2 linked regions of the Struthio camelus genome follow. The protein of the gene in region 1 interacts with the protein of each later gene in a pairwise test. Links are inferred from orthologs where the notes say so. Each region holds a gene or a part of one and is shown on either strand. Other genes may lie near its edges. The genes, in order: PEX6 and PEX26.

Region 1 (10,849 bases):
ACTGTTGGTTGAACCCACCTGTGAGGAAGGAACGTAACATGCTGCAGAACATCAGTGGAGAAAAGACAGCTGCCAAGTGACAAAGGGTGTCCCAAAACACCCCTTTGGAACTGCAGGAGACATAAGCCTCCTCAGGCACCTTTGCCATCACTACGGCACCACTTCAGCCTCACATCTCCTGTACGCCCGCCCTGCTCTCCACTGACGTCTTACCAGATACAGAGAGGTGTTCTGGGTGTCCACCAGGCAACCCTCAGACTGCTCGCCTTCCACCACGCCTAAAATCTTCCTCACTTTGAGGTAAAGCTCTGGCCATCTAAAGGAAGAGCAAGCAGTCTAAATTATTGACTCAAGACCTGGACAGCAGGAATACTCCTTTCACCACCAGAAGCCAGCTGAAAGGCACAGGTAAGCACAGACGCTCTTGCTCTCTGTCAAAACCCGCCATGGATCCTTCACGGATCCCATAGTGCTGGCTAGGGAGACCAACTTGACTGTCAACAGTTACAGCTTCTGCTGGTGGCTTTAGCTCACAAGTACTGCTGTCCCAATCTTCCCATTCTGCCTGCTTTGCCTAAGAGCTCACACACCCCCTCTTCTGCCATCGGTTCCTTCACTGCGACTGCGCAGAGTTTGGCCTGCAGCACATAAAACCTCGTACTGCAAAGTCCTCCGAGCTGCAGAACAGAACTCACCCACATATCACGATAGCCTTACTAGCATCCAGCCCTGGATACCTGGCTGGGAAAATGCTTCTTCCTCCACCAATATCCCACAGGACAGATTGTTAAAGGACCTGCAGAGGTGCCCTCCGTTCCCCGAGCATCCTACTTGCACACCAAAACCATTCGAAGCTCTCTAGGCCCCATTAGCTCTGCTATCTTCTTTGGCCTGCCATATGGCAGATATATAAGCGCACAGATGGAAGACTTGTGCCTCCTGTGATCCTGCCTCCTTCAGAAAAACAGCCTAGAGAATACTTGTTACGGTAGCATTCTGAAATCCTTAAATTTTTAAAATAAGCAGTGGAGCTGAACAGTGTTAAAACACATAGCTGCTATATCCTGCACGAACAATTTAAGGCAGATATTCACATCGCACTCTTCAGTTACCTGTGGCAGTTCCCTCAGTGACAAAATTGAAGCATTTATACTATCACCAGCAAAGCCCTGCTGCGAGCACCCTACTCTGATACAAAAGTAATTTTCCTCATTTAGTGCAGAACTGCTTCAAAGCCATACGAGCTAAACCAGGGAAGGCAGAACTGGTGGCTGAACTGAAAGTTATTCTAACGCAAAGGGTTTATACGCACACTTTAGTGTTGGTCCCACATAAACAACCCAACTTCCACCTCGGTTTATGTGGCACTAGCTGTCCTCAGGCCGTCCTTTTCACTCTTCGTTCTTTTTTCCCCATCAGCGCCTGTCTCTCTCTCTCTCTCTCTCTCTCTCTCTTTTCCTTTCTTCCCTCTGTGACTATTTGAGCTGAGCTAAGGTATAGCTGCAACCTTCCATAATCCAATAAAAACTTTTCCCACCAAAATAAAAGAAGAGGCAGACTAACTCTGACCTCCAGGGACAGACGAGAAGGGAACCCACTGCCCTGTTACAAGTAGGTCAATCATGGAAAAGCACCTTTTCTCTTTTAATATCCATGTAGCAGAGCCAAGGTTTATTGCCACCCACCTAAGGAATTTGTCTGAATTTGCTTCTAGAAACTCAGCGCATCCGAATGTCGGAACACATACGATGTCTCCCTCCTGGACAAGCCTAAAAAAAAAAAAAAGAGAGAGAGAGAGAGAGTTTCACCAATGAGAAACAGTAAATCCTTCTACCCACCACACCACACAGGTTTTCACAAAGAAGAGCGTAGCTATTCACAGTGTTTTGTTCCTTTTCCTGTATTCCAACATTATAAATAGCTACACAAACATCTAGCACGTCCCAGATGAGAGTAGGTGCATAAGGACTACGAAGGGGAACGTTATTACCTTCTGGGAAGAATCTGCCAGTGATATAGAAGATCAATGCTATTAAAGAGCATCGCCTCTCTATGCCTAGAACAGCCGAGTGCAATTCTGAAGCAGCTCGGGGGCAAGTCGTAAGAGAAGACCTCCTCTGCGCAGCCAGCTTGCCAATCATTCAACTGCACGCAAAGTTGAATGCCAGGATACGAACACACCCCAGGATGGAGGTCTGTGGGCAGTATTTGGGAGCCCTCAATGCCGGAGGGTAAGTCACAGGGAGGGAGGCTCGAGGATGACTCGTGAAGGACAGGACAAGAGATGCTGCAGGCAAGTCAAGCTCATGCGAGCTCAGGAGGAGAAGATGGTGCAGGTGGATATTGTGAAACTGTTCACCACGCGCATTAAGTTGTTGGTTACATATATGCTCAATGTCCACTGGATCCAGATGCCACAAATATACCACGAGAGCGCATCTCGGTTGGACTCAACCAATAACACGAACGGGAACGCACGCGCACGCCTTACTGGGGTGTTTCGAAGTGCTTGTAGAGAATACGGTCATAGACTCCTCTGGCGCTGTAGGCTGGCGAGCAGACGATCTCCACGTGCAGCTCCTTGGCAAAGGGCGGCACAGCCAGCAAGGAGTGGCTCCCCTTCCCTTCCGCGACGCCGGCCTCTGCTTCGTACCTCTGCGGAGCAGACCACACCGAAGCGGGAGACGTCAGGGGCGGCTTTCCACCACGAGGCCCCGCACCGTCTCCTCCCTCCATCACGAGCCCCCAACAGCACATCCCCAGGGCCTAGTGGCTGCGACGGGGCACGGGACATGCCGTGGGGCCACCGGCAGCCCCCTTCTCCTGGAGCAGCCGCAGGGAGGCCCAGGGGTCCCCACCACCCGCAATGGGGCACGGGCAGCACCGTGGGGCAGCCCCCTCCCCCAGAGCCGCCGCAGGGAGGCCCAGGGGTCCCCACCACCCGCAATGGGGCACGGGCAGCACCGTGGGGCAGCCCCCCTCCCCCAGAGCCGCCGCAGGGAGGCCCAGGGGTCCCCACCACCCGCAATGGGGCACGGGCAGCACCGTGGGGCAGCCCCCCTCCCCCAGAGCCGCCGCAGGGAGGCCCAGGGGTCCCCACCACCCACAATGGGGCACGGGCAGCACCGTGGGGCAGCCCCTCTCCCCCAGAGCCGCCGCAGGGAGGCCCAGGGGTCCCCACCACCCACAATGGGGCACGGGCAGCACCGTGGGGCAGCCCCCTCCCCCAGAGCCGCCGCAGGGAGGCCCAGGGGTCCCCACCACCCGCAATGGGGCACGGGCAGCACCGTGGGGCAGCCCCCTCCCCCAGAGCCGCCGCAGGGAGGCCCAGGGGTCCCCACCACCCGCAATGGGGCACGGGCAGCACTGTGGGGCAGCCCCCTCCCCCAGAGCCGCCGCAGGGAGGCCCAGGGGTCCCCACCACCCGCAATGGGGCACGGGCAGCACCGTGGGGCAGCCCCCCTCCCCCAGAGCCGCCGCAGGGAGGCCCAGGGGTCCCCACCACCCGCAATGGGGCACATGGAGCACCGTGGGGCAGCCCCCTCCCCCAGAGCCGCCGCAGGGAGGCCCAGGGGTCCCCACCACCCGCAATGGGGCACGGGCAGCACCGTGGGGCAGCCCCCCTCCCCCAGAGCCGCCGCAGGGAGGCCCAGGGGTCCCCACCACCCGCAATGGGGCACGGGCAGCACCGTGGGGCAGCCCCCCTCCCCCAGAGCCGCCGCAGGGAGGCCCAGGGGTCCCCACCACCCGCAATGGGGCACGGGCAGCACCGTGGGGCAGCCCCTCTCCCCCAGAGCCGCCGCAGGGAGGCCCAGGGGTCCCCACCAGCCGCAATGGGGCCGCGGGGCGGCCGGCAGCCCCCTTCGCGCCCGGCCGCGGGGCTCACCCGGAGGCAGAGGAGGGTGGCGGCGGCGGCGGGGTCGCAGCCCAGGTTGAAGGCCAGGGCGGGGGTCAGCAGGGCGCCGTCGAGGGGGGCAGCGGCGGCGGGGTAGCCCCAGGGCGGGGGGCAGAGGCGCAGGGCCGCCAGGTGCTGCCGGCCGGCCCCGACCCCGGCCCGCACCCGCACCCACTCGCCCTGGAAGAGCCCCAGCGCCAGCAGCCCCCGCCGGCTCACCCGCACCTCGGCCCCCCCCCCGCCGCCGCGGGCCGCCCGCAGCCGCAGCGCCCCCCCCGCCCCCCCCGCGAACCGCGACACCAGCGGCGGGGGGGGCGGCGCCGCGGGGCAGCGCCAGGGGGCGCCGTCACCGCCGGGCGGGGGGGGGGCGCGGGCCAGGCGGGTGCCGCCGCCCAGCAGCCCCTGCAGCGCCGGCCGCGCCTCCAGCACCGGCGGCCCGGCCGCCCCCGCCCCCGCCGCCCGGCCGCCCCCGCCGCCCAGCAGCACCCAGGCCAGCGGCGGCGGGCGGCGCACCGGCCACACGGCCACCCGCCGCCCGGCCGCCAGCCCCAGCCGCCGCCGCAGCGCCGCCCGCAGCCACAGCGCCGCCCCGCCGCCGCCGCCGCCGCCGCCGCCGCCGCCGCCGCCGCCGCCGACCTCCTCCAGCAGCGCGGCGCCCAGCAGCACGGCCTGCGCCCCGCCGCGCCCCGCCGGCCGCACGGCCAGCACCACCCCGCCGCCCTCGCCCTCGCCGCGCAGCGCCGCGCACAGCGGCCCCGGCGCCACCAGCAGCGCCGCCACCGGCGCCGCCTCGGCCGGCGGCAGCGCGTCCAGCGGCCGCACCACCGCCACCGCCATGCCGCCGCCGGCCGCCGCAGCGCGCACTGCGCAGGCGCGGCCCCGCCCGACCATCGAGCGCCGGCGCGGAGCGGCCCCGCCCCGGCGCGGAGCCATAGAGAGGGAGCGCTCCCCGCCACAAACCGGCCGGCCCTCGGCCCGCCGCGCCGCCCCGGCCTCGCCCGGCCTCGCCCGGCCTCGCCCGGCCTCGCCCGGCGCTCGCGGAGGAGCCGGAGCCGGAGCCGGAGCCGGAGCCGGAGCCGGAGCCGGAGGAAGAGCCTGCTGCCAGCGCCTGCTGCCGGCGCCGAACCGGCCCTCCGCGAGGAGCGGCCTGCGGGAAGCCGAACCCCGTCGGATCCTCCCTCGCCCTGCAGCCGGGCGGGATCTGATGGACGGGGATCCCGGGATCTGTTGGGATACGGGCCAGGAGCTGATGGACGGGGATCCCGGGATCTGTTGGGATCCGGGCCGGGATCTGATGGACGGGGATCCCGGGATCTGTTGGGATCCGGGCCGGGATCTGATGGACGGGGATCCTGGGATCTGTTGAGTGTGGATCCCGGGATCTGATGGGATCCGGGCCGGGAGCTGTTGAGTGGGGATCCCGGGATCTGATGGGATCCGGGCCAGGATCTAATGGACGGGGATCCCGGGATCTGATGGGATCCAGGCCGGGATTTGATGGATGGGGATCCCAGGATCTGTTGAGTGGGGATCCCGGGATCTGTTGGGATCCAGGCCGGGATCTGATGGACGGGGATCCCGGGATCTGTTGAGTGGGGATCCCAGGATCTGATGGGATCCGGGCCAGGATCTGGTGGACGGGGATCTCGGGATCTGTTGAGTGTAGATCCTGGGATCATGGGATCCTGGATGTGATCTGAGTGGGGATCCCAGGATCTGATGGGATCTTGGCTGGGATCTGATGGGTGGAATTCCAGGATCCTGGCTGGGATCTGTTGAGTGAGGATCCTGGGATCCTGGCTGGGATCTGATGGGTGGAGATCCTGGGATCCCACAATCGTGGCTGAGATCTGTTGAATGGGGATCCGAGGGCCCTGGGATCCTGGCTGGGATCTGATGGGTGGAGATCCTGGGATCCTGGGATTGTGGCCAGGATCTGTTGAGTGGGGATCCTAGGATCCCGAGATCGTGGCTGGGATCTGCTGGGTGGGGATCCTGGGATCCTATCTGGGATCTGTTTGGGTTGGGATCCTGGGATCTATTGGGTGGGGACCCTGGGATCCTGGCCAGGATCTGTTGGGTGGGGACCCTGGGATTGTGTCCAGGATCTATTGGGCTGGGATCAGAGGATCGTGGCTGGGAACTGCTGGGCGGGGATCCCAGGATCCTGACTGGGATCTGCTGAGCAGGGATCCTGTGATAGTGGCCAGGATCTGCTGGATCAGGATCCCGGGATCGTGGCTGGGATCTGCTCGATGGGGATCCCAGGATCCTGGCCAGGATCTGCTGGGCAGGGATCCTGGGGTTGTGTCCAGGATCTCCTGGATCAGGATCCTGGGATCATGGACGGGATCTGCTGGCTGGGGATCCTGGGATTGTGGCTGGGATCTGCTGGCTGGGGATCCTGGGATTGTGGCTGGGATCTGCTGGGCAAGGATCCTGAGACTGTGGCCAGGATCTCTTGGATCAGGATCCCCAGATCGTGGCCCGGATCTGCTGGGTGGGGACCATGTGATTGTGGCCAGGATCTCCTCGATCATGATCCTGGGATTGTGGCTGGGATCTCTTCGGTGGGAATGCCAGGATTGTGGCCAGGATCTGCTGGATGGGGATCCCGGGATCCTGACCGGGATCTGCTGGGAAAGGGTCCCGGTATTGTGGCCGGAATCTCCTGGATCAGGATCCCGGGATCCTGGCCGGGATCTGCTGCGTGGGGATCCTGGGATTGTGGCCGGGATCTGCTGGGTGGGGATCCTGGGATCGTGGCTGGAATCTACTGGACAGGGATCCCAGGATCCTGGATAGGATCTGTTGGGTCAGGATCCTGGGATCTGCTGGACGGGGACCCTGGGATCTTGGCTGGGATCTATTGGGCTGGGACCCGAGGATCCTGGCCAGGATCTGCTGGGTGGGGATCCCAGGATCCTGGCCAGGATCTGCTGGATCAGGATCCCCAGATCCTGGCCGGGATCTGCTGGGCGGGGGTGGACAAGGCGGGGGTGAGAGCCCGGACAGCCCGCGCCTGGGCCGGGCCGGCCCGGCGCGAGGGAGCGCTTGCAGGGCCTTAAGGGGCGGTGGCGGCGGGCGGCCGGTCTGCGGGCCCGGGCAGCAGCCCCGCAGGGGCCGCCCAGCCGAAGCGCGCGTTACCGGCGAGCGGGGCCAGCCGGCAGCGCCGCCCCGGGCCCGTGCCTGGCAGCCAGCGGCCGCCCGCTCCTGGCGAAGCCGAGAAACAAGCCAACGTGGTCCCGTTTTAGCCCCGCTCCGCGTCCCTTGGTCCGCGGCCGGCTGGGCAGCTGGCGCGAGTCCCTGCCTGGGGCAGAGGCGGTTCGGGGGCGGCGCGCGCTGCAGTGACCTCGGGGCAGCAGGCTGGCAGCCTGCCCCGCGAGTCCCCTCCTGCAGCCGGGGGTGAGAGCGGGAAGGCCGCCAGGCTGGGCTGCCCCGGGCCGGGGAAGGCGCCCCGGCGTTTGCCGTTGCTGCGCTCTGCCCCCGGAGCGACGCGGTGAGCCAGGCCAGCCGCGCGCGGGCAGGGCAAAAAGGGGAAAAAAAAAAGCTGCCAGACACCAGTGCCAGCACGGCACAACCCACATAACGGGTTTGCAAATGCTGCTCAGGCAGGATTAGGCCTCCAACGTGCTAAATCTCGGCTCTTGCAGCGCGTAATTGCTGCTGCAATAAGCCCTGGCTCATCCTTTCCTGAACCGTGCTGCCCGCGCAGCCCCGCCGTACGGTTTTCTGCCGCGCCGGCTGCGTTTGCCGTGCGCCCGTTTCCCTGAGAGGTGGCGGGGCGGCGGAGGGGGGGGATGCACGCACAGCATGAAAACCGAAGCTACACCACAGCTTTATTTATGGGGGCGTAATAAATAAGCGATGGACAAAACAGGCAGAGCCACGTTCAGAAGAAAAAAAACCAGAACCAGACAGACAGAGGCTAAAGTGCTTTCGGACAGAAGTCAGACCGCCGAGGAACGGCGGGGGCGTTGCGCTCTCACAGACGTTCCCGGAACGGTCTCCTGCGTCGACCCACACATCGTGCGCTTGTTCCGGGGTACTACGGCTTGGTTTTCGGAAAGGCCGCTCTGTTGGCGTGCCCGGTACGGCAGGCGACGTTCAAGCGCGTGCGAAGGTGGTTGCGTAAATAAGAGCGCCTCCGTCCCTCGGCCCGACCGCGACGCAGCGTAAACGCGGTGGCGAGGCTGCGGCGGCACGTCAGCTGGCGGCGGCCGGAGGACGTGCCGGAGCCCTCGGGGCGGGAGAGGCGCGCGGGCGCTGCCGGCGATGGACGGGCCCCCGCGCGCAGCCCCGGGCGAAGGGAAGCTCTGCCCAAGAGGCCGTCCGTGCTGCCCACAGCACGGTCCTGGTTTCCCACCGCTTTTGGCCAGCTTCGGACGCCTCTCTGCTCTGCTGAGAGGCGAGCAGCTGAGAAGCGGGGGGGCGGAGGGGAGGGTTCAGTTTTACAATGCCCTGAATTCAGATAGAAGTTCAATTATCTGAGGAGGAAAAAAATATATACATATAGCAATAAATATTCTTAGGATCGCAGGGGGCTGGCCGGGCAGCCCGAGCTCAGCGGTCCCTGTCCTCCTGCTCCGCGGCGGGGTCCCCGCTGACGCACCGGCCCAGCGCGCTTCTCTTCCCGCGCCCGGCCGTCCTGGAGAGGTCGATGGCCGCGTCCCCCGAATCGATCACGGGGCCCAGCTGGTCAGAGCCCCTCTGCGCGCTGGCCGGCTCCCCTCCGCGGTCCTCCTCGGTCCGCTCCTCTCGCCAGCCGTCCGCCGGCTTCTCCCGGCTCTCCGCCTTCCTGCTCGCCTCCACGGACTTTCTGTGCATGCCTTGCCGAGGGGAAAGAGCAGAGCAGAGGGCGCGCGTTGCCCGCCCGCGGCCCCAGCCGGAGGGGAACCTCGCGCTGGCTCTGGCTCGCGCCCCTGCTGCCTGCTCTCCGCCAGAGGAGGCCGCTCCGCAGCGGGACCCGTGGGCACCTGCCGCTCGCGGGCGGCGGGAAAGGCTCGCCGGGAGAGGGCTGCTGCGAAGGGCCCGGGCTTCCCGGGCCGCCCCGTTGGAGCGGGTCAGGTAGCCCCCGACACGGCGCGAGCGCGGGGCCGTGCCCGGCCGCGGGGAAGCGGTCCCCCTTCCCCAGCTCCTCTTCAGAGGGAGGGAGCGAAAGGGCCAAGCTACGCCGCAGCCTGCTCAAAGCTCGTGGCTGAGGCCCTGCTCCGTCCTGGGAGAGGGCGGGCGCGCGTGGCCAGGCACGAGAGGTGACCGCTAGCTCGCTGGGCGCCGTGGCCGGCCCCGTCCCCCCGCCGCACCGTGCTCCAGCTCACCCAGCAGCCACGGGGCGCAGGATCCCACCAGCCCGCTCTTGGCGGAGTTGATGATCGACTCGGGCAGAGGGATGGAGTGTCTCACCATGGCCCCGTAGAGGCCGTACTCGGCCATCACGCTGCTCCGGCCCCAGCGCTTCTCCCTCTTCCGCCACTTGGCTCTTCGGTTCTGAAACCAAACCTTCAGGGGTAACAGCCAGGAGAGCGCGGAGGGGTGGGAGAGGGGAGGAGACGGCACCCGCGGCCAGCCGGCGGGGCCCGTTGCGCGCGGGGCAGCGCGCGGCCAGGGCCGAGGGACCGCCGAGAGGTGGTGTCGGGGGGGATGCGGGGAGGGCACGCACGTGGGTGTGAGCCAGAGGGGAGAGGAGGAGGGGGGGGGAGAGGGAGCACACGTTACACCAGGCGTCCCCAGCCAACGTCGCCAAGAGGAGCCCGTGGGCTCCGCCTGCCCGCCGGGCGGCCGCACGAAGCCACCTTCGTCTCCAGGAGAAGGGGTCCGCGGGGCAGGTGCTGGCGGAGGGTGCCGGTGCTCCTCTCCCCCCCAGCCCCCCCGCTGCCTTCCTGCGGGGCAGGTGCAACCCAACCGCTGCCCCATCCTCAGCCAAGCCAGCGAGCCGCCCCGTGTCCCTCAGAGGAGGCGTGAGCCACCCAAGGTGAGACGGCTTGGCCCAGCGGCGCCGCGGCCGGGCCGCCTGCCCCCACCGGGGGTACGGGGGCCGGAGGAGCGCCGTGCCCCTGGTTGGGGGTCTCCTAGCGCAGCCCGGGAGCGTGTCGGGGGGGGGGGAAGGTGGGCATCCAGCTCGAGGTCCCGCGCGGCCACCTACCTGTATCCTGTCCTCCGGCAGCTCCGTCCTCGCGGCCAGCATCTCCCTGGCGTAGACGTCCGGGTAGTGAGCTTCGGTGAACGCCTTCTCCAGCTCCTCCAGCTGGTGAGCCGTGAACACCGTCCTGCGGGGAGGAGAGCGGGTCCTGCGGGGCGGGCCGGACCCCCGGCCGCGGGCCCGGGCCGGGCCCTGCCTCGGGGCTCGTACCTGTGCCGCCGCTTCTTCCTCTTGGCCGGCGAGCTCGACGCCGCCGCCGCCGCCGCCTCGCCGGACGGGCTGTCCTCGCCTGGCAGCGCGCGGAGGGGGCGAGAGGGACACTGCGGCGGGCAGCGCTCGGCACCCCGCCGGCCCCCGCCGCCCCCCGCACCCCGCTTACCGGAGACGCGCTCCCGCCGCCGGCGGGCGGCCCCGACGGGCGACCCCGGCCCCGGCAGCAGGCACGGCCGCCCCGGGGCCGCCCAGCCGCACAGCAGCCCCAGCCCCGCGCCCCCCCCGAAGCCCGCGGCGGCCGGCGGCCCGGCGGGGTGGTGGTGGTGGTGGAGGGGGGGGGACGGCGGCGGCCCGGGGGGGGGCGGCAGCTCGGCCTCCAGCCCCAGCAGGTCGGTGATGGCGAAGCCCTTGGCCCCGCGCCGCCCCGCGCCGCCCGCCCGCTCGGGCAGGGCGCTGCGTCCCGCTGCCGCTGCCGCTGCCGGTGCCGGTGCCGGTGCCGGTGCCGGTGCCGGTGCCGCCGCGCGGCCCCCCGACGGCTCCGCCCGGCCCGGCATCGCCGCCCCCGCCTGGCCCGGCCCCGCCGCCCGCCGCCCCTTTTATCC
Region 2 (11,058 bases), on another chromosome or scaffold:
TTCCAAGAAAGACAAGAACAACCAGCAAGTAAGAAAGGCACAGAGAGAAAGGGAAAATTAATTTGTAGGAGAAATGGAAAGTAATAAACTGCTCTAGATATTAATTTTAGGCAAACTATAATCATACCTCTCAATCCAAAAAGATTCTAAAATAGCATATGGATCTTCAAAACCAGGGCAGAAATCCTTCACAAAACGAGAGATTGCATTTTCACCAACTACATTAAAAAATTCAGAGGCAAATTCATAAAAAAGTAACAAATTCTTAATTACTAAATCGAGTTTGTGAGCAAAACAGCAAGCAGTGAAGTTCCGCCTGCTGCAGTCCTCCCGCTGAATGGGCACAGCAATACACTTAACCTGGCGAAATACAAGACATACAGGCTGCATCATTGAACGATCCCTTCCTAGCTGATCCTCTCCAGAGCGCTAGACACTGTTACCTAGCAACTCTACAGCACTGCTGGTTTTTCTAAAACAATCTTTAATTAAGACTTTTATGAGCATCACAAGATCAAGTCAAATAAGAACCACGAGCAGCAGCATGAGAGACAAAAGAGTTTGCTGCTTTAACTTATGTAACATTATCTATAATTCCCAGTTCAAAATGCAGAACATGAAACATTTGGATGTTTGCAGTTAAAATTAACAGAAGATCATGCTAAGCTTGAATTCAAAATGAGGGATAGGTGTTCGACAAACACTGAAACAAGAAGTACTGAAAAGCTGTTAGGCTAGGGTAAAAAGAATGTGATTTGAGAAAATAATGTTTTCTCTTCCCATTTGCCTTATGGTATCAGTACTTTCATGATTCACGTTGGCAAACATCTCTCCCAGCTATGGGAGCATGATGTCCACTTTTGAAATAGAAGTGCAGAGATTAATGGGTGACAATAGATTTCGGCAGGTGGGGCTTTAAGAAAAGATATTAACAGTCAGAAGGGGAAGCAACTCTGAATCAGTAGAGCAAAGAGATGCAGTGCTGGGCAAAGAAGATTTAATTGACCTATAGTGATGACAGCCTTTAGTATTTTCCTCACAGATAATAACTGGTTGCAGAAAAGAAGCCGCCTTAGGCCTTTAACCAAATTGGTCACCTTAAAGCTATGAAATGCCCCACCCAGCCCTAATTATTACTATTATAACTGGTAACAATCAAATAAAAAGTAACAATGTTTATTCTTTGCATGCTTGGATGCCAGGTTTGGTATTTTGGTATTTTGTTTGATATAGAGCAAAGAACGAGGCACGATCAACTTAAAATCACCCTTCTTTTCGAAAAGCTTTTGCTATTATATTAGTAAAATTCCAGCTCTACAAGTTGTGCAAATACCTCTGTTTCTCCAATTTTCCAGTGTCCGGTGTTTGTACCTCACACAGCGTGTTTTTAAGATGAAGATTAAAACAGGGATTTGCTCAGACTTTAATGTCACAGGATATATTCGCACCTAGTTGGATTGTAGCTAATGACTACCCCTGTAGTTATCTTTACCGTCTTCTCTCTGCCATCCTCATCTGTTGTTTATATGGGTTTTCATGCAGCCAAAGTTAAGAGGAGAGTGCTTTAAAAAGCAGTAACTAGGAACATTAGCAGGTGGTCTCAAAATCAGGTGAGGCACCCCTTACTAGTCTTATTTAAAAAAAAACAATAAAATATTTGTTTGATTCTATCTTAAGTAAAATAAAGAAGACTTCAGACTTGACCATCTGTTAGATGCATAACCAGAAAGTGCTCACCTTTACACAACTGAGGGCTCTAATGCTAGCCTGACAGAAGCTAGAGGGAGCCCTGAATTTGAGTTAATGGAAGGGAACTGAGCCACCTATCTTCATATTTAATCGGGATGTATTGCTCATAGGAAACATAAGCAAATTACAAGTTCCAGTGTCTAATGGCCTAGCCAGACCCAAACAAAAGCACATGGTGATGAAGAGGGAGTGCTGCTTGTTGAGATCTGCAGTCTCTGTGGACGTCATTGCTTTATTATAGTACATCATAGTTTATAAGCAACTTCATCTTTAAAACCCCACAGCTTTCCTACAGACCTTACTTTGTTCAACTGTGTTTATAATGCCTTTTATATTTCCAGATCTTCTATTCATTTTTATTTAGGTGTAAGTGGGTTTCTTTCTCTTAAAATCAGACCATAGAGCCCCACTGTTTCTAGCTCAAAGTCTCCCTAATGCTGCTAATCTCATATTAACAGCCTACTGACACAGAAGAGACCACAGAAAAGACTGATTGCCAGCTCTCTGGCCCTGTGACCCCACGCTAGTCAGATCTGGATTAATACTTGAGGCGATTTACCTCAGGAGGCCCTGTTACAGGTGACTGTATCCCTAACTCTCCTTGAACTGCTTCACAGCAGTGGGAGGAGGAGAATGTGAATTCACAGCTGGTGAAAACATAAAGAAGGTCCCTCTGCAACTCATTTCATTTCTTTTCCTATAGAAAATCAAGATGGCAGCAAAAAGAAAAACCTTAGATTTCAGATGAGAGTCAAGGAGCCAGGCATCAACACCCCCCCTCCCCCCACGACACAATGCATTGTGATGCTCCCTCTTACTACTTGTTCCTAAGAGTAAGTTTTCTTGAATTTACCTTTTCTCATTACTAGAAACTGCTCTCCAGGAAGCAGAAGCACAGCCAAACATGTTGATTTCCTCCAATATATTTATAGTGGTATAGCCCTGCGTGTTGGCTATAGTCACATACAAGAGTGACTCTTCCAAGTTTAAAAACAATTTATACTGTTTACATTTAAGGAAAGATGGAAAAATAGCATCATTCTTATCCTGCAAAGAGTGTCCACGTGACAGTTTAGTTCACCAGCCCAAACTGCCTCTCACTTCTCTCCACAGCTGGACTGTATCTCCCACATTTGCAGTACTGTGCCATGCCTACCCTCCTGCTCCATGACCCTACATAGTAGAAGTAGGTTGCTGGGATGACAGATCAGGCTGACCAGCTGCACTTGACGTCACTGAGCGGCCACACACTGCATCTCAGATGCATGAGAGAGACGTCTGACTGTAGGGACGAGAGAGGGAGGCAGGAGCCAATTCTGTCCCTGCCAAAGTCGACCACTAAGACGTTACAGATCTGAATTTGCCGTTAGGTTGTCTCTGGTCTCCACTAAGACAATTCTATTTGACCTCAGAAGATTTTCCACTTTGCTTGTTAACAAATTGCCAATGAAATAAGTAATTGCTCCTAACCTGATCTTAAACAACGGTTTAACTGAATTACTGAGTGGCTGTTATTTGCCGGTTAGAGAACTGTGAGAGGTTTGGCCTTCAAGGCACCACACTGTCCCCTCTAGGATAAGGGGTGAAGTACAAAAACATTCTACCATGCTTTACAGAGAAATTAATTTTACCCATAGTTGTTATTACAAGGCTGCCTGTTCCCTATTAGCTTCTTAAACAGCCAGACTGCAGCTCACTCAGATCTTCTGTTTAGAAGAGCTCCCATTCTCTCTGCCTTTTCTGTACCTCTAACACAACTGCATTATTGTTGCAGCTCACATATCTGTCTGTAGTTCTTTATTAATAAAGAGCACCTGCAAGAAAACAGGATCTGACTCATTTTGCAGCACAGCTGCTCCCACTGCTTACTTCCCCACCTGAAACAACAATCCTCATTTTCAAAAAACCACATTCATCATCACAGCGAGCAATTCCAGCATCACCACTACACCACTGAACTGTCCTTCTAAGGAATAGAATATTTTGGGCTGCTCTCCTCAAAAGACATTGTTGAATATCTTTGCATATTACAAACTTACCTCATTCCATGCTGTCTCACTCCTTTTCTGATTCTCAGTGGGGAATATTCAGTGACTGTTAGTCTTTTTCAAAATTGATTCCTTATCCATATTTGGGAATTTGTGCTGGGCACTAGCTGGTACAACGCATACTCTTCCCACAGTGCACTTTGGGACTTGTAGTTCCCAAAAAGGAATGTTGTTTTCCAGATTGCAAGTACCAAGCAACAGTAACAGAAGTCTGAAAAGTGTTTTATCTCCTAGCTTGCTTAGCTGCTCAGCCCTTCCTTTTACAATATTTTTGTTCTGTGGTTTTGGCTTAACCAAGCTGAATCTTTCTGGAATCTCCTTCTGCAGTCAGTAACACAACATACAAACTCTAACGCATTGGCTTGTGAACGCTGCTATTACAGAGTGTTCCTCCTGTTACAATGAAGAGGGGTTTGATTCTGCCACCTGTAAACAACTGTTTATAAGAGAGTTATGAGCAAATTTGTCATCATACTCCCCACACTTTCCTCCACACTGAAACAGCACAGAAGTTTCCTTTTAAAACCTGTACTTGACACTTTAACATATGCTTTGCATTAGGATCTTTGATTTTTCATTAAATAGTTATAGTAGCAGTCAGGGTTACAAAACAGTATGCTAAGTTCTACCTCTCCTGTAGAGATTCATTTCTGAAGAGAGTTTTCACATGGTGAAATCATTATTTTGTAACCAAGACACCCTATTGTTTTGAAATATCAGTTAAATAAGAATGTGAAACATTTTATATTATTGCATGCCTGGCACTGGGGGTACAGTGGAGGAGCTTGTTCTTAAGCCCAAACTCCAGCTCATTTAACAGTTTAGCATGCGCCAAACCCTGGACACGTGGTTTTCAGTAAGGTGATGGCCGAAGCAAAGATTGCCAGGAAACGTGCCATAAGGAGACCAAGGCCTGCGTTCGCCTGGCACAGCAAACTGCTGGCAAAGACCTGCGTCGAAAGCAGCCATGCGTTAGGCTGTAAGGGGAGCACTCTCCCTTCGTTATTCACTCAGAAAAATCTTCTTCTGCTGGCTGTTTATAGTGAAGAAAACCACAGGACCGCAACTTTATTGCCTAGCTCTTCTGCACCTTAAAGCCTTCCATTTAGCAAGCAAAAGCGCTTGTGGTTTGGGCGACACCTCGCGGTCGGGGAGAAGAAAAGCCGCGACCTTCGCCAGGCTCTTTGACCCTCCTGCTAGTGGGGGCAGCTGAGGTGGAAAATTTTGACTTGGGTTTAGTTGTTCTCCGCTGGCAGGCACGAGGGCGAGAAATTAAAGGTTTCGATTATTAAGCAAAGCCCAGCGGAGGCACAAGCCTCTGGATACCTTATCACCGAGGCAAAGACAGATGCGCTTCCCTACCTTAAGAGGGACGTTTTTCTGTCTCGTGCGCGTGCAGCTTTGTGTGACTGAGGAGCCTCCTTCGGGCAGCCTGTGTCTTTCAGGCTGCTGCTGAAGGAACACTTGGGATTTCTTGCTACCACGGGGAGAAAAAAGAAGCGGAGGGGGTGGAAAAAAAAGGCACCGCAAGCGCCACCTGGCGGCCAGCGCGTCCCGTCGCCCGCACACCTCCCCGGCTCGCTCTCTAAGCGTGCCCGCAAACTTCACTCCCCCTTTTACCACGACGCAAACCCGGCTTCACAAAATAGCCGGAAGCTCCGGGAAGGCAAGCCGAGGACGCGAGCGTGGGGCTAAGTCCTGTTCTTGTCAAAATTACACAGGCCTCCAGCTGCCCCTCCCTCTCCGCCTTGCCCCCCGGCCGCGGCCCGCCGCCCCCCCCCCGCAACGGCATAACGTGTTCGCGACCTTTCACGGCAGCTTCTTCGCAGGCTCCCGGGGCTCTTAGCTGGCTGGCAGGGAGCCCGTTTGTAACCGAATAGTCCACGCAAAGGTCCCCCCCGCCCCGCGCTCTCTGCCTGCCGCCTCTCCCATGGCGGTTCCCGTCCTACAGAGCCGCCGCTCCGCGGCGCGACGGACCCCTCGGGCCGCCGGGGGCACCAGCGCTCCGAAGAGCCCCGCGCTGCCGGGTCCGGTCGCCTCAGGCAGCCGGTGACTACAGCTCCCGTGGCGCCGCGGGGCGAGAAGATGGCGGCCGGGGCGGTGCCTCCGCAGCCGTGAGGGGGCGGCGGTGGGGGCGTCTCTGGTGGCGTTGGGCGCCGGTGAGGGGCGCCCCTTCGCCGGGGCCGAGCGAGGCGGTAGCCCCGCCGCTACCACCATGAGGAGGGAGCCGGCGGCGGAGCTGCTGCTGCGCAGCGAGCCCCTCGCCTGGCCGCCCGTGTCGGCCCAGGCGGCCTCGCTGCTGGAGGAGGCGACGGACCTGCTGGTGCTGCACCGCGACTTCGCCGCCGCCCTGGAGCGGTGCGAGGCCGGCTGCGACAGCCTGGGCCCTGCCGCTGGGGCCGGTGCTGGGGCTGGGGCCGAGGCCGAGGCCGGGAGGTACGAGCCGGCAGGGCTGGGGGCTCAGGGCTGGTTTAGGGGCTCGTGGAGTTTCAGGCCGCTTAGGGAGCTGCGGAGGTTTGTCTGTCTTCCTTTTCAGCTCTGCAGAAGTGAAATGCTCCCTCTGTGTTGTGGGGATTCAGGCCCTGGCGGAGATGAACCGGTGGCGGGAAGTTCTCTCTTGGGTCCTACAGTATTATCACGTCCCTGAGCATCTGCCTCCAAAAATCCTGGAGCTGTGGTGAGTTTCTCCATGCGACTGCCAGGTACACAGGACTAGGTTTAATAACAGGCCAGACTGCATTTTCACTTTGTATGCTGTAAACCGGGATGAAAGTGGAACCTGGGACAAGCATGTTCTTGAAAAGAGAAATAATTAAAAAAAAAAAAAAGCTGAATTAGTTTCTGTTGCAGATCATTTTGCTCTCTGAACGCATACGCTAGCGTTAGGCATGGTGCTAGCCACCCTGAGCCTGCTGAGAGGCAGCCTTTGGGAGCAACTGGACTTATGTGTGCCTGAGTATGCCTGCAGGCCAGCAGACTGCTTTAGGGTGATAAGGAACAAAAGGGGTCATTCTGAGAGTAACATCAGTGGTTGTACCTACCACCTGTCTCAGAAATCTCTTCCTCTACCTGGAGTGTAGACCTTGACATAAGCCTTGATGATAGCTGCTTGTGAGTAGTAACTGTCAGTTCATCTCAATTTAAAAAGATGTTGTGTCTTCTAATATTTGTCTTTGTTGTGTTCTAGCATCCTGTTATATAGCAAAGTGAGAGAGCCCCAGGTGATGCTGGAGGTTGGCAGTAGCTGGCTGAGAGACGTAACCAATAGGAGCCTCCCTGAGTATGGTTCGTTGCTGGAGCTCTATCTGTTGCGTGTTTTGCTTCCCCTTGGCCAGTTTGAGGGGGCAGAAGAGCTTGTGCGGGGCTGTGATGTTTTTGACAGTGAGCAGCAGCTAGCACTTCTCAAGATCATTTGTGAAAGCCAATGTCAGTGGACTCAACAGGAAGAGATGCGCTCAGCTGCTGAAGAGCAGCAAGACACCACAAGAGAGACAGTTTTGGGTAGGCTTTCCCTCCATTGTTTGTGCTCCTTCGTTTTTTTTTCCTTCAAAGTTTTAGAGATCTGGCTATCTTAAATATTATCAAAATGGTTCAAGTTAGATTGTAATGTAAATCGTATACATCCGTGTTCTCTTTCTGTTATCTGCGGACTGTCTGTTCCCTTCTTTATAATCTATGATAGCCCATCCCAGAACTTCAACATGTGCCCTAGACCTATCATCAGTGAGACAGCTTCCTCAAGCACTCAGGACTTTGCAGTGGGTACAGACAGCAAAGTGCCACTGGGACAACAAGAAGGGAAACAAGTTCAAAAAACAAAAGCTGCTTATAGGTTGTTTGTTTGTTGTAGCCCTCTGCTACTGTCTGAAGTAGAGCAGCTGTAGTTTGATGCCTCAGAATTGTTGGGGTATTGCCTGTAAATCCTCAAAGAGTTTTGAAGATTTGTTCTGCACTCTCGAGTGTGATTCTGCTTAGTTTTTAGCCTGGTTGTTGATGGCTGTTGCGTTGTGGGTAGTCCATCCTCTGTGGACACAGCATGGAAACAGTTTTCACGCCTTGCTTTGTTGTGCAGCACTGGATTCAGAAGAATGGCTTAGGAAAATTTTCCTCTCTCCTTTCTTAAGTCTGGCTGTGTAGTGGTGGTTTCCTTTTACCAGTGAGATGACAAGTTGACCACCTTATGGAATGTTTCTGTAAATGAGTTAGCAGCGTCATTTCAAATGGCTGGGTATGGTAAGGCCTTTCACCTATGGCTCTAACGGGTCTGTAGTAGTACCTAACCAGCATTGTTAGATCCCTTACTAACAAAGGGTAGCAAGTAGTAACTGTATATTAATAATAATGTCAGGACATACCAGCCATGAGGAAGTCACAGAAGGACTGGACTATATCCCGGAAGGCAGTGGAAGACTTGCTGATCCATGTGCTGATAATTACAAAGGGGATTTAGTCTCCACCAGTGTCAGAAGATGGGAATTATTTTCAAGCTTCTAAAACATTTCAGAATAAATGTATTACAGTACAAACAGGCAACTAAAACTAGCAAGTGCATCCTTTAAGGGTATGTGTTGTTGGATCTGTGTACTTTTTGCTTTTTCTCCATTAATAGTTAAGCCCATGTAGAGCAAGCCATGGCATTTAAAGTACTACTTATCTGCCAGAACTGTAAATCACCTGGAGTTATCTACCAGCAGAGATGTTTGCACTGCTGTGGTATAAGTTCATATCGTCCTAAAGCAGATACCTAAAAAAGATCCAATGAATTGTATCCTAAAATTGTGTAATTTCTCTCTGTTCCCTATAAAAGAGACGCATGCGATCAAACTAAGATGTGTCTACAGTTAGGTGAGATGGATGGCACCACTACTGACTCTTCTAAGTGATTTTTTTTCCCACTTTATTTTGCCCTAACAGCCTTTTTATTCTTGTTTCTAGGTGCTCTGTCCCAAAAGCTCTTGACCATGTTGACATTGCTCCGGAGAGCACTGAGGTCCATGTCAAGCCACTTCTATTTAATTCCTTACAAAAAGATTCTCTTGGCTGCTTTTATGCTATATCTGGTGGTGGTGAGATTAGACCCAGGTACAGAATTTAGAGCTTTTATTTTTTTTAATCCACTACGGCTACAGAGAATAAATTAAGAGTTGCTTTTGATAGATATGGTCTATGTAATTGTGTTGTCTTTGGGGCATAAAAGATCTAAAGAACATAAAAGAACCGGGTGGCTAGGAATTTATTTTTTAGGCTTGTTTCTAGTTTTTCCACCTGGAGTCCGTGTAGAAACATGTAACTCAACAAAAGCAGATGTCTGTAAACAGTTATCCCATCTTCAGCTTTTTCTAACAGACAAGGTGCAAACTGTTAGAGACTGACTGAGCTGTCCTAGACCCAGCCTCTGCCCCAGTTAGCTTGAGGTGCTACAAGGTGAATGCCTTCTGGAAGAGTGATTGCCTCCTGGGGCTGTGCTGCCAGGAAAGTACAGAGTTGCCCAGGCCAGTGACGTATTCAAGCGTTGGTTTTGCTTATGCTGGTCTCTCACTAGTAATGGTTGCCTCTGTCGCTGAAGAATGGGCTGGTCCTGTGATGTGGACGGCTTCTGGCGAGCAGGGGGGATGTGTGTCCCCCCTCTATCTGGAGACGCCCCTTCTACTGGGTGGTAGGTGCTCTGTTGCTGTTCCACGAATAGTCTATTGGAAAATACTGAAGAAAGCATGCTAGGGATGGGAGCAGTGGCCTAGGTTAAGGCCTGAGAACTGAACCAAACGGGAAGAAATAAAACACCTACGCTTCCGTTATTGCTGGTTGGGATCAGTCTTTTCTTAGTATGTTTAGCGTATCTTAGTTTTCGCTCTTAAAATGAAAGGCTCTTTTGGTTTTTGTTTTGTTCTGCAGCTTCTCCCACGTCACTGCCGTTTCTTTATAGACTGGTCCAGCTCTTCCGACAGGCTTGGGCAGCTGTACTTTCTCCAATCCGCAGGCCTCCAGTTCAAGACTAAGTGGCTTCCCCCACAGAAAGCATATTTTTTTCTGCTGCTGCAAAAGTATCAGCTTGTATTGAGGACATCCTTAGGCTCTTCAAGGACTGTTGAGATCAGTGTCCCAATTGAGATGGCCACCTGTGAGCTCCCATGTGATGACATCTTCCTTTCTTCAGACGGGGAACTGTGTTGTATGAATTTTGAAACCATGCCATGTATTCCCCACCCGCACACACTTTGCTTAGCTCTGCAGCATCATTCTGTCAAATACTTGGTTAAAGTTACTCCCCTAACCTGCAACTGAGTGAGAATCCTTTCCAAATAGTTTGCTTTGGATATACCTCCTCAGTGAGAGTGGGTGGCCAGTTGTGAGCCAGGCTCACTGAGATGCTTTGGAAGAAGGCCTCATCCTTGTAAATGCTGGGCAGCTCTCTGAACGAGGGAAGTAGCGTTCCTGGAGGCAGGACTGTAAAAGACAGCAGAGTACCAGGTAATTAGGGGAATATACTGTTTTGTCTGAAGACATCGGAAAAGCCCAGTTCCTGCAGCATGGGATTTAGGACACACATGTGGAAATAAAACAGAAAATGGAGCCTGTTGCCTTTTGAAAGTCATGATTTCTCTGGACTGATGCCTCCTCATATGGGCATTTTTGATTTTGAAAATGAAGGCGATGGGACACAAAGACTGTTGTCCTGCACCTACTCTTCCTAAATGCAAACTACTGCACTTTGTGCTTGCCTGATGCCCAAAATTTCTTAGGAGCACGGTGGTAAGGCAATAGATTTATTTTTTTTAATTGTATTCCGTATTGTCTAGATTCTGCCTAAAATCTAGAAATATGAATGTACTAAACAACAGAAGTTGTTGCTTTTTTTTTACTCTTAAGGGTTTCCCTATCATTTGCTATGTTTATTGAGATGTCAGAAAACCTCCATATATTTAGAATACCCCCTCCATACCTAAAGTCTTGGTTCAGATGAAAGCCATTTATCAATGCTACTGTCATTCAGAGGAAAAGTTTATCAATAGGTAGAAAAATATATTTCTCAAACTTTCCCCAAAGCTGTGGCAAGAAAATTGTCTTGCAGAATGCTCTGATTTGTCACCAGACTGACCCCACTTCAGGCCATTGATTTGGATTCCTAGAGGCAGAGGCTGGAGGTCTGGGGTTGGACGTTTCATTTCTTCTCCTGCCATCTACATATCATCAATTGGCAGTGGTTAAATTCCACAGGAGAGAGCATTTGCCTGTTTAAATATTGTTTCTACTGAAGCAAGTT

What was found.
Region 2: the proteins of PEX6 (region 1) and PEX26 come close enough for resonance energy transfer, tested with the Homo sapiens proteins (2 studies listed by BioGRID). The link is inferred for Struthio camelus from reciprocal best matches to the Homo sapiens genes PEX6 and PEX26.

What each region holds. Positions count from the first base shown.
Region 1 is NC_090944.1:147,792,696-147,803,544, forward strand, and holds the start of PEX6 (peroxisome biogenesis factor 6), read right to left. Parts: upstream 4,733-10,849; coding exon 3,887-4,732; intron 2,656-3,886; coding exon 2,492-2,655; intron 1,770-2,491; coding exon 1,686-1,769; intron 317-1,685; coding exon 214-316; intron 19-213; coding exon 1-18. Other genes in the region: VSX1 (visual system homeobox 1), read right to left, coding at 8,459-8,724, 9,214-9,394, 10,038-10,161, 10,245-10,323, 10,414-10,801. UniProt on the Homo sapiens protein: Component of the PEX1-PEX6 AAA ATPase complex, a protein dislocase complex that mediates the ATP-dependent extraction of the PEX5 receptor from peroxisomal membranes, an essential step for PEX5 recycling.
Region 2 is NC_090942.1:70,907,425-70,918,482, forward strand, and holds the start of PEX26 (peroxisome assembly protein 26), read left to right. Parts: upstream 1-5,867; 5' UTR 5,868-6,012; coding exon 6,013-6,233; intron 6,234-6,333; coding exon 6,334-6,474; intron 6,475-6,984; coding exon 6,985-7,298; intron 7,299-8,732; coding exon 8,733-8,879; intron 8,880-9,689; coding exon 9,690-9,793; 3' UTR 9,794-11,058. UniProt on the Homo sapiens protein: Peroxisomal docking factor that anchors PEX1 and PEX6 to peroxisome membranes. PEX26 is therefore required for the formation of the PEX1-PEX6 AAA ATPase complex, a complex that mediates the extraction of the PEX5 receptor from peroxisomal membrane.